Linked DNA regions of Oryctolagus cuniculus. The protein of the gene in region 1 purifies or fractionates together with the protein of each later gene. This does not show direct contact. Links are inferred from orthologs where the notes say so. Each region holds a gene or a part of one and is shown on either strand. Other genes may lie near its edges.

Region 1 (3,902 bases):
TCCCTTATGTGAATTCGCCAGGCAAACCAAAAGTAACAGGAGGAGCACCGAGAAGTGGCATTATGCTTCTGGGCGGTGTGTGCCTAACCTGGGGGCACTTTGACTGAGGACAAGGACAAGGAAAGGGGGCATAGGAGGGGGTTCTGTGCTCACCCTCACAGAATCTAACAGCACACAAAACACCGAGGGGCCTACTTGCCAAAATCCAGGGGGACCTTGCAGAGTCCAACACGCTGTCTCTCTCACAGTTACATTGGGCACCAGATGTTGAGGTGGATTCCTTCTGAGAGGAGGAGCATGGTGGGGGCAAGAGGCGCAGAGTCACCACAGATCCCTGGAGCTGGGAGGCGGGAGCCGGGAGCCGGTGATAGTGGGCCAGTGGGCCAGAGGCAAGCAGCCCACAGACTCGTTTATTTCAGTTGCTACAGCAGCTTAAATAGCCAAGGCAGCCAATCTGGTCAAGGGGCGGTCTATGCCCTAACCAATCACAGCCTGTTGCCAGGCAGTTTCTGAAGCCATCCCATCACAGCCTGTTGCCAGTCAGGCTCCGTTGCCAGCAGCCATCTTGGCATGGCCTTCTCATTCCACCACAGGGGTGGAGACACCCGAACCATGCGGTCAAGGGAAGTGGAGAGAGCACCTCAGAGAAGGGAAGCGGCAGGCCCTCAGCGGCCAGAGGAGACGTCTAGGAAGCAAAAAACCCACCAACACATAGACTCGATCTTCAAGAGGATCACGCAAAGACTGCGCATGCATTTAAAAAAATTTTTTGCACCAAAATAAAATTACTTTTGAACTCCATTTTTCACAAACCTTTCATTTTTAAAAAAGGTTTTCTGTTCATTTTTATTTATTTGTAAGAGTGAGAGCTAGAGAGAAATCTTCTGGTCTTCTGGTTCAGTCCCCAAATGCCTGAAACTGTCAGGCTGGTCCAGGCCTAAGCCAGGAGCCAGGAATTCCATCTGGCTCTCCTACGTGGGTGGCAGGGGCCCAAGTACTCGAGCCATCACCTGCTGGCTCCCAGGGGTGCACTGGTAGGAAGCGGGAGCACAAGCAGTACCGTCTGGAACTGCACTCTGACACGGGACCGGGCATCCCAAGTGGCGTCCCAACCACTGTGCCGAACTTTCTGACAGACCCTGGTATCTGGCGGCTCCAAGGTTTCCTTGCACCTATCGTCGGTCATGGGGAGGCCCCAGCCTCTGCAAGCCAATCACACCTCTGTTATGCCAGTTAATGTTATTTCCTTTATTAGACAGTCGGTCTAAAGGGTAGGGTCGCCAAAGAGCAAGGTTTTCTCCCATACACACTGACCTGATAGCTATGCACCTAGGCGGACGTGAAGTCAGCATCACCATTCAACAGTCCTCTGCTTCCTTGGAAAAGCCACAGGACCCCGCCCCTCTCCCGGACAGGCCACGCCCACGCCGCTTCCACGCTTGCGCGCTCCCCGCGCCAGCCCCGCCCTCGCCGCCGACACGCGGCGCGCGTGCGCGCTGCCTCACCATGTGTGCTCGGGCCGTCAGGCGGCCCAGCTGAGCGGGGACCATCAGCAGCCCCCGGGGCGATACGACGGTACCGCCAGTCCCGCAGTCTCCGCCGCGTGCTGCTGCCCTCCTCTCTGTGGCTGTCCCCGCAGTGCACGTCGCCATGGGCAAGAGCCGAACCAAACGCTTCAAGCGACCTCAGTTCTCCCCCACCGGCGACTGTCAGGCCGAGGCGGCGGCGGCGAACGGAACTGCAGACGAGGAGGACGACGGGCCGGCGGCGGAGCTGCTGGAAAAAGTGAGGCGGGGGCTCCGCGGGGCGGCGGGGGCGGGCGCGGGCGGCCCCCCGCGGCCCCGGGGGCGCGTGCGCACTGGGCCACCTCTAACCTCCTCGTCCGCGTCCCACAGCTCCAGCACCCGAGCGCCGAGGTCCGCGAGTGCGCGTGCGCGGGCCTGGCCCGGCTGGTGCAGCAGCGGCCGGCGCTCCCGGGCCTGGCGCGCCGGGATGCGGTGCGTCGGCTCGGGCCGCTGCTGCTGGACCGCAGCCTGGCGGTCAGGGAGACGGCGGCCGGCGCGCTGAGGTGAGCCGGGAGGACGGGTGCGGGACTTTGTCGCGTGCTGTGCGTTTCGTTGCAAGGGGCTGGGGAGGGCGGAGAACCTGGCGGCGGTCTCCCGTCTGCGGGCGGGCGGGCGGGCGGGCGGGGAGGACCGACCCCGGGACTCTCTGGCCCCACGCAAGTCCCTGCGGGTGCTGCTAGACGTCCTGCCCCGCAAACCGGCGCACTTTGCTATGCTCTCCAGGAAGCTTCCTTAGGGCCCCGTGGTTGGATGATCTCTTCCACCCAGGGGTTGTAGATGCGAGGGCTCTACACGGAACAAACAACACAGCCCGGTCTTCCCAGAAGCTCTGTTGATGCGGAGACGGAAAACTAGAACAAGGTCAAGCGTGATGTTAGATAGTGAGAAGCGCTAGGCAAGCCAAGAGAGTGCTGGGCTGGGGGTGCTCTGTAGATGGCAGTGGTGAATTCAGCCTTGCAGGATGGGGAGCCAGGCGTGGGAGTATGGAGCAAGAGGGTTCCCCGCAGAGAAGTGAGACAGCGAAGGGCGTGGCGTGGCTACAGAACTGAGGGTTAGAAGGGTTAGGAGATGAGGCTGGGGAGGGATAGTAGGGTGGGGTGGGGTTTATTCTAAGAAAGGGAGAGACCTCATCCATTTACCTTTGGAAGAGGCCATTCTCTTGGTTGTGCAGAGAATGGACTGTAGAGGGGGCAAGAGTAGAAGTTAGTACTTGTAGTTCTTGTGTTTACGTTGTGCTCACTGATGTCAGCGTGCTCTGGGCATGGGGTCGTGAGTAACAGAGACTTCCAGGGACTCTCCAAGACCGCCGAAGCAGACAGGCGTTCGCCAGCTACTGCGCTGACCAGCCAGTAGCAACCACACAGGTGCTCCAGGGTTCGGGGGAGACAGACCTGAGCAGTGATGTTAGAGTTGAGGTCCGAGGAACGAGGGGCACTGACCGCTTTATGGGGACGGGGTGGACATCCCTCCCCGGCGAGGAGACACGCGCACTGTGAGCTCCTGAAGACGTGGGAGCGGCCTGACTTCTCTGCACGCTCTTCCTGCCTGGCCGTGGCTCAGGAGTGTCTTCCAGTGAAGCTTAGCCAGGGCTGAGTCAGGGCGTGTCCTCCTCAGGGGCCTCCCCTCACCGCCCTTAGCGTGTTGATGGCAGGGCAGGGTCCCTCCGTTTAGGATGTGAAGTGGGTGCCGTCGTCTTCCCTGGCCCATCCCTGTAGCCGTGTGCCTGTGTGCTTAGACCTGAGAAGCACGTGGCTGCGTGACAGTCACCTGCTCGCATCTGGTAGGACAAGGATCAGGAGCGGTGGGAAGCTCTGGACTGGTTCTGTCGCATGTGACAGAAATAGCAAACCGTGTCTCCTGGGAAACCTTAGGTCTAATGAAAGGAGAAGTAAATGTGAGTGTGGGATAGCGTTTTATGACGTGTGACTGAAAATAAAACGTGATCGAAACTTCTTGCCTAGAAATCTGAGTGCCTGTGGAGGTTTTGAAGTTTGTGACGACATGGTGACGAAGGATATCATGACTCCGCTGGTTGCGCTTCTGAAAGAGGTAGGCGCTCTCGGGGCGCGTGCATTTAGCTGAGTGCCTGGGGTGCCTGTGTCCCGCCTCGGGGTGCCTGTCTGGCTTTCATTCCCAGCTTCCTGCTGACGCAGACTGTAGAGGGCAGTGATGACGGCTCGGGTGATCTGGTTCCTGCCGCCCACTTGGGAGACCTGGGTGGAGGTCCTGGCTCCTGGCTCCAGACCTGGCCCAGCCTCAGCCTCAGCATTTGGGGAGTGAACCAGTGGATGGGAGCTCTTTCTCTCAGATGCTCTGCTTCTCAAATAAAACAATGAA
Region 2 (3,902 bases), on another chromosome or scaffold:
AGGCCATGCCATGTCCAGACAGGCAGATTCTAAGGCAGAAGGGGATTAGTGGCTGCCAACGGGAGAGCGAGTGCTGCTCTGTGGGTACAGAGGCCCTGGGATGGTGAAAAACTTCTGGGGGTGAACTGTGGGGGTGGTTACACCACACTGCAAATGTACTTACTGTCCCTGAACTGTACACTTAACATGGTTACAACGATACATTTGTGATGAGTACATGACAATGAAAACAGAGGTGATACGAAATTTATTGACTTATGCGTGGCAAAATCACGAAGACCTTTACCCTGCTACAAGCTACGTGGCCGACACACACACCGATCACGGGAGGCAACACGCAGAGGTAGAGCACTACACACACCCATCTGGCTCCATGACGCAGCGGGACGGCCTCGGCCTGTGGGTGCGGAACATCTCAGCTGGGGCGTCGCGCCTCACTCGGGGTGCAGTTACCATCCTGGGAGGGTGCAATGCCCCCGCCACGCTTCGTCCCACTCTTCTGCTAAGGGGTGCATGGAGAGGCAGAACACAGGGCTCCCGCGCGCTGCCTGAAAGCCCCGACCACCACCTCTGAGCAGACGCTTCCCAGTCGCCCAGGGCTACGGCCTTGCATGTTTACTGTGTGTTCTGACATCCAGCCCACGAGACAGAAAGAACTTTCCGTTTGACAGACGTGAGAAACCAAGGCTCACACAGACTCCGTCAGCTGCCCAGAACAGCGAGCTGACAGCACCCCAAACCCTGTGCTCCTCCCACATCTGTCTTCCAAATACCCGTGAACTGTCCGGGTGACCGTGGCATAGCTTCCTCCAAGAACTGGATCCGAACAGAACCTCCTGGCCATTATCTGCAAGAACAGCACGCGCAAGTGCAGGAAGAATCCGCACTCGGGCGCCTTCCCGTAAACCTGGGTCCGAATTTCTGTGTTCTTCCGAAAAGACAAACTCCCAGGGTTCTGACAGTCTCTAGGGGCCCGATTCCCTCCTTCGGCCTCGTCTACACCCTCAGCCTTCTTGGTTAGTGACCCAAGGGGCCCAGGGCTTCCCAGAGGCCCAGCTGATCACTTGAGCGAGTCCAGTCTCCCAAACACCTGTGTGAAGCGCTCTCTGTCCAGGACGCGCCCGTAGCGCAGAGGTAGGTAGAAGGTCTGCTTCCCGCTGTACTGCTGGATGCGCACAAACACCTCGTGGGGCCGGTCCCTCGTCTCCGTCAGGGGGACCACGTCCGCCACGGGGCAGTACGTGTCCTGTCGCCAGCCCCAGAAGGTGAGGTGAGCCACCCGCAGCACGGTGCCCGACTCGTTCACATACAGGATGCCTACGAGCCTGCGGAAGAAATGGCTCATCCAGCACAGCATGGCCAGGGCGAAGCCAGCTATGCCACCCACCAGGCACAGCGAGTCGAGCGGCATGAGGCCCTGGGAGTACCAGTAGAAGCCGGGCGGCAGAGCCACCAGCGTCAGGGCCGTCTGCGCCACCTTCAGCCGAGATATGTACCCAAACGCTCTGATGGCATCGAAACGGTAGACCATCTGGAACTTCTCGGTCTCTGTGCCCGGGGCTTTCTCCTCGGAACCGGGAGACCTGCTCCGCACCCACCTCTTGGGATCCTCTCGCCCACCGCAGGACCACAGCCCGCAGAGGGGCTTTCCCCAGGCGGCCGGCCCCCGCCACCTGGGCACAGCTCGGAGGAGGGCAGCCTGGAAGGGAGACAAGAGACCGTTTCCTCTCAGAACTCGGCTTCCACCTGCGTGAGTTCGTTAGGCTTTACCAACGGGCACTCAGAACACACTGAACGAGACAACGGTTTTTACGCCGTAAACGCAGCACCACTGTGCATCAGCACCGGCAGGGGCTTGGTTCCGGGATGCACGACAAGACACCCAAACCAGAGGGCTCACGTCTCTTATGCAAAATGGCACAGTGTTTGTGTGATACCTTATACCACTACTACGATGGAAACGCGGCGTAAAGAGTGGTTATGGGGGATTCCTTTGGGAGTAGCAAGAGCCCGTAGGCGTTCCGCACAGACGCAGCTGTCTCGGCAGCTGAGTGAATCCATGGATGGGGAGCGCACGGATAAGCAGCGCCGACTGCTCGGGGCCCACCCTGAGCACCCCCGCGAGGCTCGCTAGCACCGCTGCTGGCCCACGTGACCCCGCAAGACCACAGCAAGCCGTGGAGGAGCACATCGTAACCCACATCGGGGCAATCGCCCCAGGACCCAACAAACCAGAAGCTCAGGATTCCTGCCTGTTTGCCCCAACACTGGCTCCGACCCCGACGCAGCCCATCACCCTCCTCCTTACCATGGCCCTGCTCCCTGGCGCCGGATACAACCTCACCGCCGCCGGAAACTCTAAGGGCGCATGCTCGGACTACGCGCGTTGCATGCTGGGAGTTGTGGTGTAGCGTCCGTGGCCGACGCTAGCCCCGGGCATTGTGGGAGGCTGTGGGAGTCTCTTCCCGACGTGCTCTGCGGCGAAGAGGGCCGAACCCGGAAGTTCCGGGTCGAGGTCCGGGTGCCAACGAGTCGTCTCAGGTGTGGACGGAAACGGGGGCCATGGCAGCTCCGGGACCAGCGCTTTGCCTCTTCGACGTGGACGGGACCCTGACCGCCCCGCGGCAGGTAGGCGGCGCGCAGAGGGCTGGCGGCAGCCGGCACGGAGCACTTTCTGCTCCTAGACGGGACGAACGACCGTCCAGCTTGGGTGCCTGGGTGCAACTGAGGACCGCCTCCCGCCTCCAGGGGCTGCCCTTGGTCTGGGTGCCCCAGCGGCGGGAGACGGGCCTGAAGCAGCTCGTCAAGATCCCGGGGTGCTCGGAGAGGGAGGGCGGGGTCGGGAAACTTGGGTTAGAACAAGCAGCCCGTTCTCTGGCCGCGAGCCCTGAACCCCAGCCGAGGCCCCCTCAGCAGCTGTGTGACCTTCCCCGTCCCGTCGCGCGTGGCTGGACCTTGGAGCGAGATGCTGAAAGCGCAGGGTTCGGGCCGGCGCTGCGGCTGTTACTAGTTAAACATCCGTGTGCCTGCGGCGCCGGCATCCCATATGGGCGCCGGGTTGAGTCCCACCTGCTCCACTTCGGATCCGGCTCCCTGCTGATGGCCTGGGAAAGCTGCAGTGGACGGGCCCGGTCCTTGGGCCCCTGCACCCATGTGGGAGACCCGGAAGAAGCTCCTGGCTTCGGATCAGCGCAGCCGCGGCCCTTGCGGCCATTTAGGGAGTGAGCCCTTGGGTGGAAGACCCCCTCTCTCTATCTCGACCTCTCTCTGTCTGCAACTCTGCCCTCAAATAGATAAATCTTAAAGAAAGAAAGTGTAGATTTCCTAGTCCAGAGGACCTAGCGGAGCCTCAGCTTGGGCCAGTTAGCCCCAGCCGGAAGCGGGGACAGTGCTTGTTACGTGTCATCCGAATAGGACCAAATGCAAGGTGTCTGCTCGCAGTAGGCCTCCGTAAGCACGGGCCGTCTCCACCCGCCCTGTGCAGCCCCTGCCGGGGTCGGGGTCGGGGTCGGGGGGACGTCCTAGGTCGTCACAGGCAGCCTGGTGAGTCTCTGCACCCTTGGAAGCGTGCCCCCCGCGCTCAGATCTGCCTGCTGCGGGCGCGCGTACGTTTCAGCTACGATCAGCTTCGTGGCGAGGCTCTCCCTTGTACAGACTGGTCGCAGGAACACCAGCCATGGGAGGCAGCAGTCAGCACACACCTGTGGGTTGTTAAAAGCCCTTACTGGCGGCCGGCGCCGCGGCTCACTAGGCTAATCCTCCGCCTGGCGGCGCCGGCACACCAGGTTCTAGTCCCGGTCGGGGCGCCGCATTCTGTCCCGGTTGCCCCTCTTCCAGGCCAGCTCTCTGCTGTGGCCAGGGAGTGCAGTGGAGGATGGCCCAAGTGCTTGGGCCCTGCACCC

What was found.
Region 2: the proteins of HEATR3 (region 1) and TMEM186 purify together in Homo sapiens (co-immunoprecipitation; 3 studies listed by BioGRID and IntAct, counting the BioPlex papers as one, with this or other methods). This does not show direct contact. The link is inferred for Oryctolagus cuniculus from reciprocal best matches to the Homo sapiens genes HEATR3 and TMEM186.

The regions. Positions count from the first base shown.
Region 1 is NC_091449.1:33,662,929-33,666,830, forward strand, and holds the start of HEATR3 (HEAT repeat-containing protein 3), read left to right. Parts: upstream 1-1,468; 5' UTR 1,469-1,650; coding exon 1,651-1,785; intron 1,786-1,895; coding exon 1,896-2,068; intron 2,069-3,526; coding exon 3,527-3,614; intron 3,615-3,902. UniProt on the Homo sapiens protein: Plays a role in ribosome biogenesis and in nuclear import of the 60S ribosomal protein L5/large ribosomal subunit protein uL18 (RPL5). Required for proper erythrocyte maturation.
Region 2 is NC_091450.1:27,395,806-27,399,707, reverse strand, and holds TMEM186 (transmembrane protein 186), read right to left. Parts: upstream 2,434-3,902; 5' UTR 2,312-2,433; coding exon 2,309-2,311; intron 1,700-2,308; coding exon 1,061-1,699; 3' UTR 232-1,060; downstream 1-231. Other genes in the region: PMM2 (phosphomannomutase 2), read left to right, coding at 2,563-2,628. UniProt on the Homo sapiens protein: As part of the MCIA complex, required for efficient assembly of the mitochondrial complex I.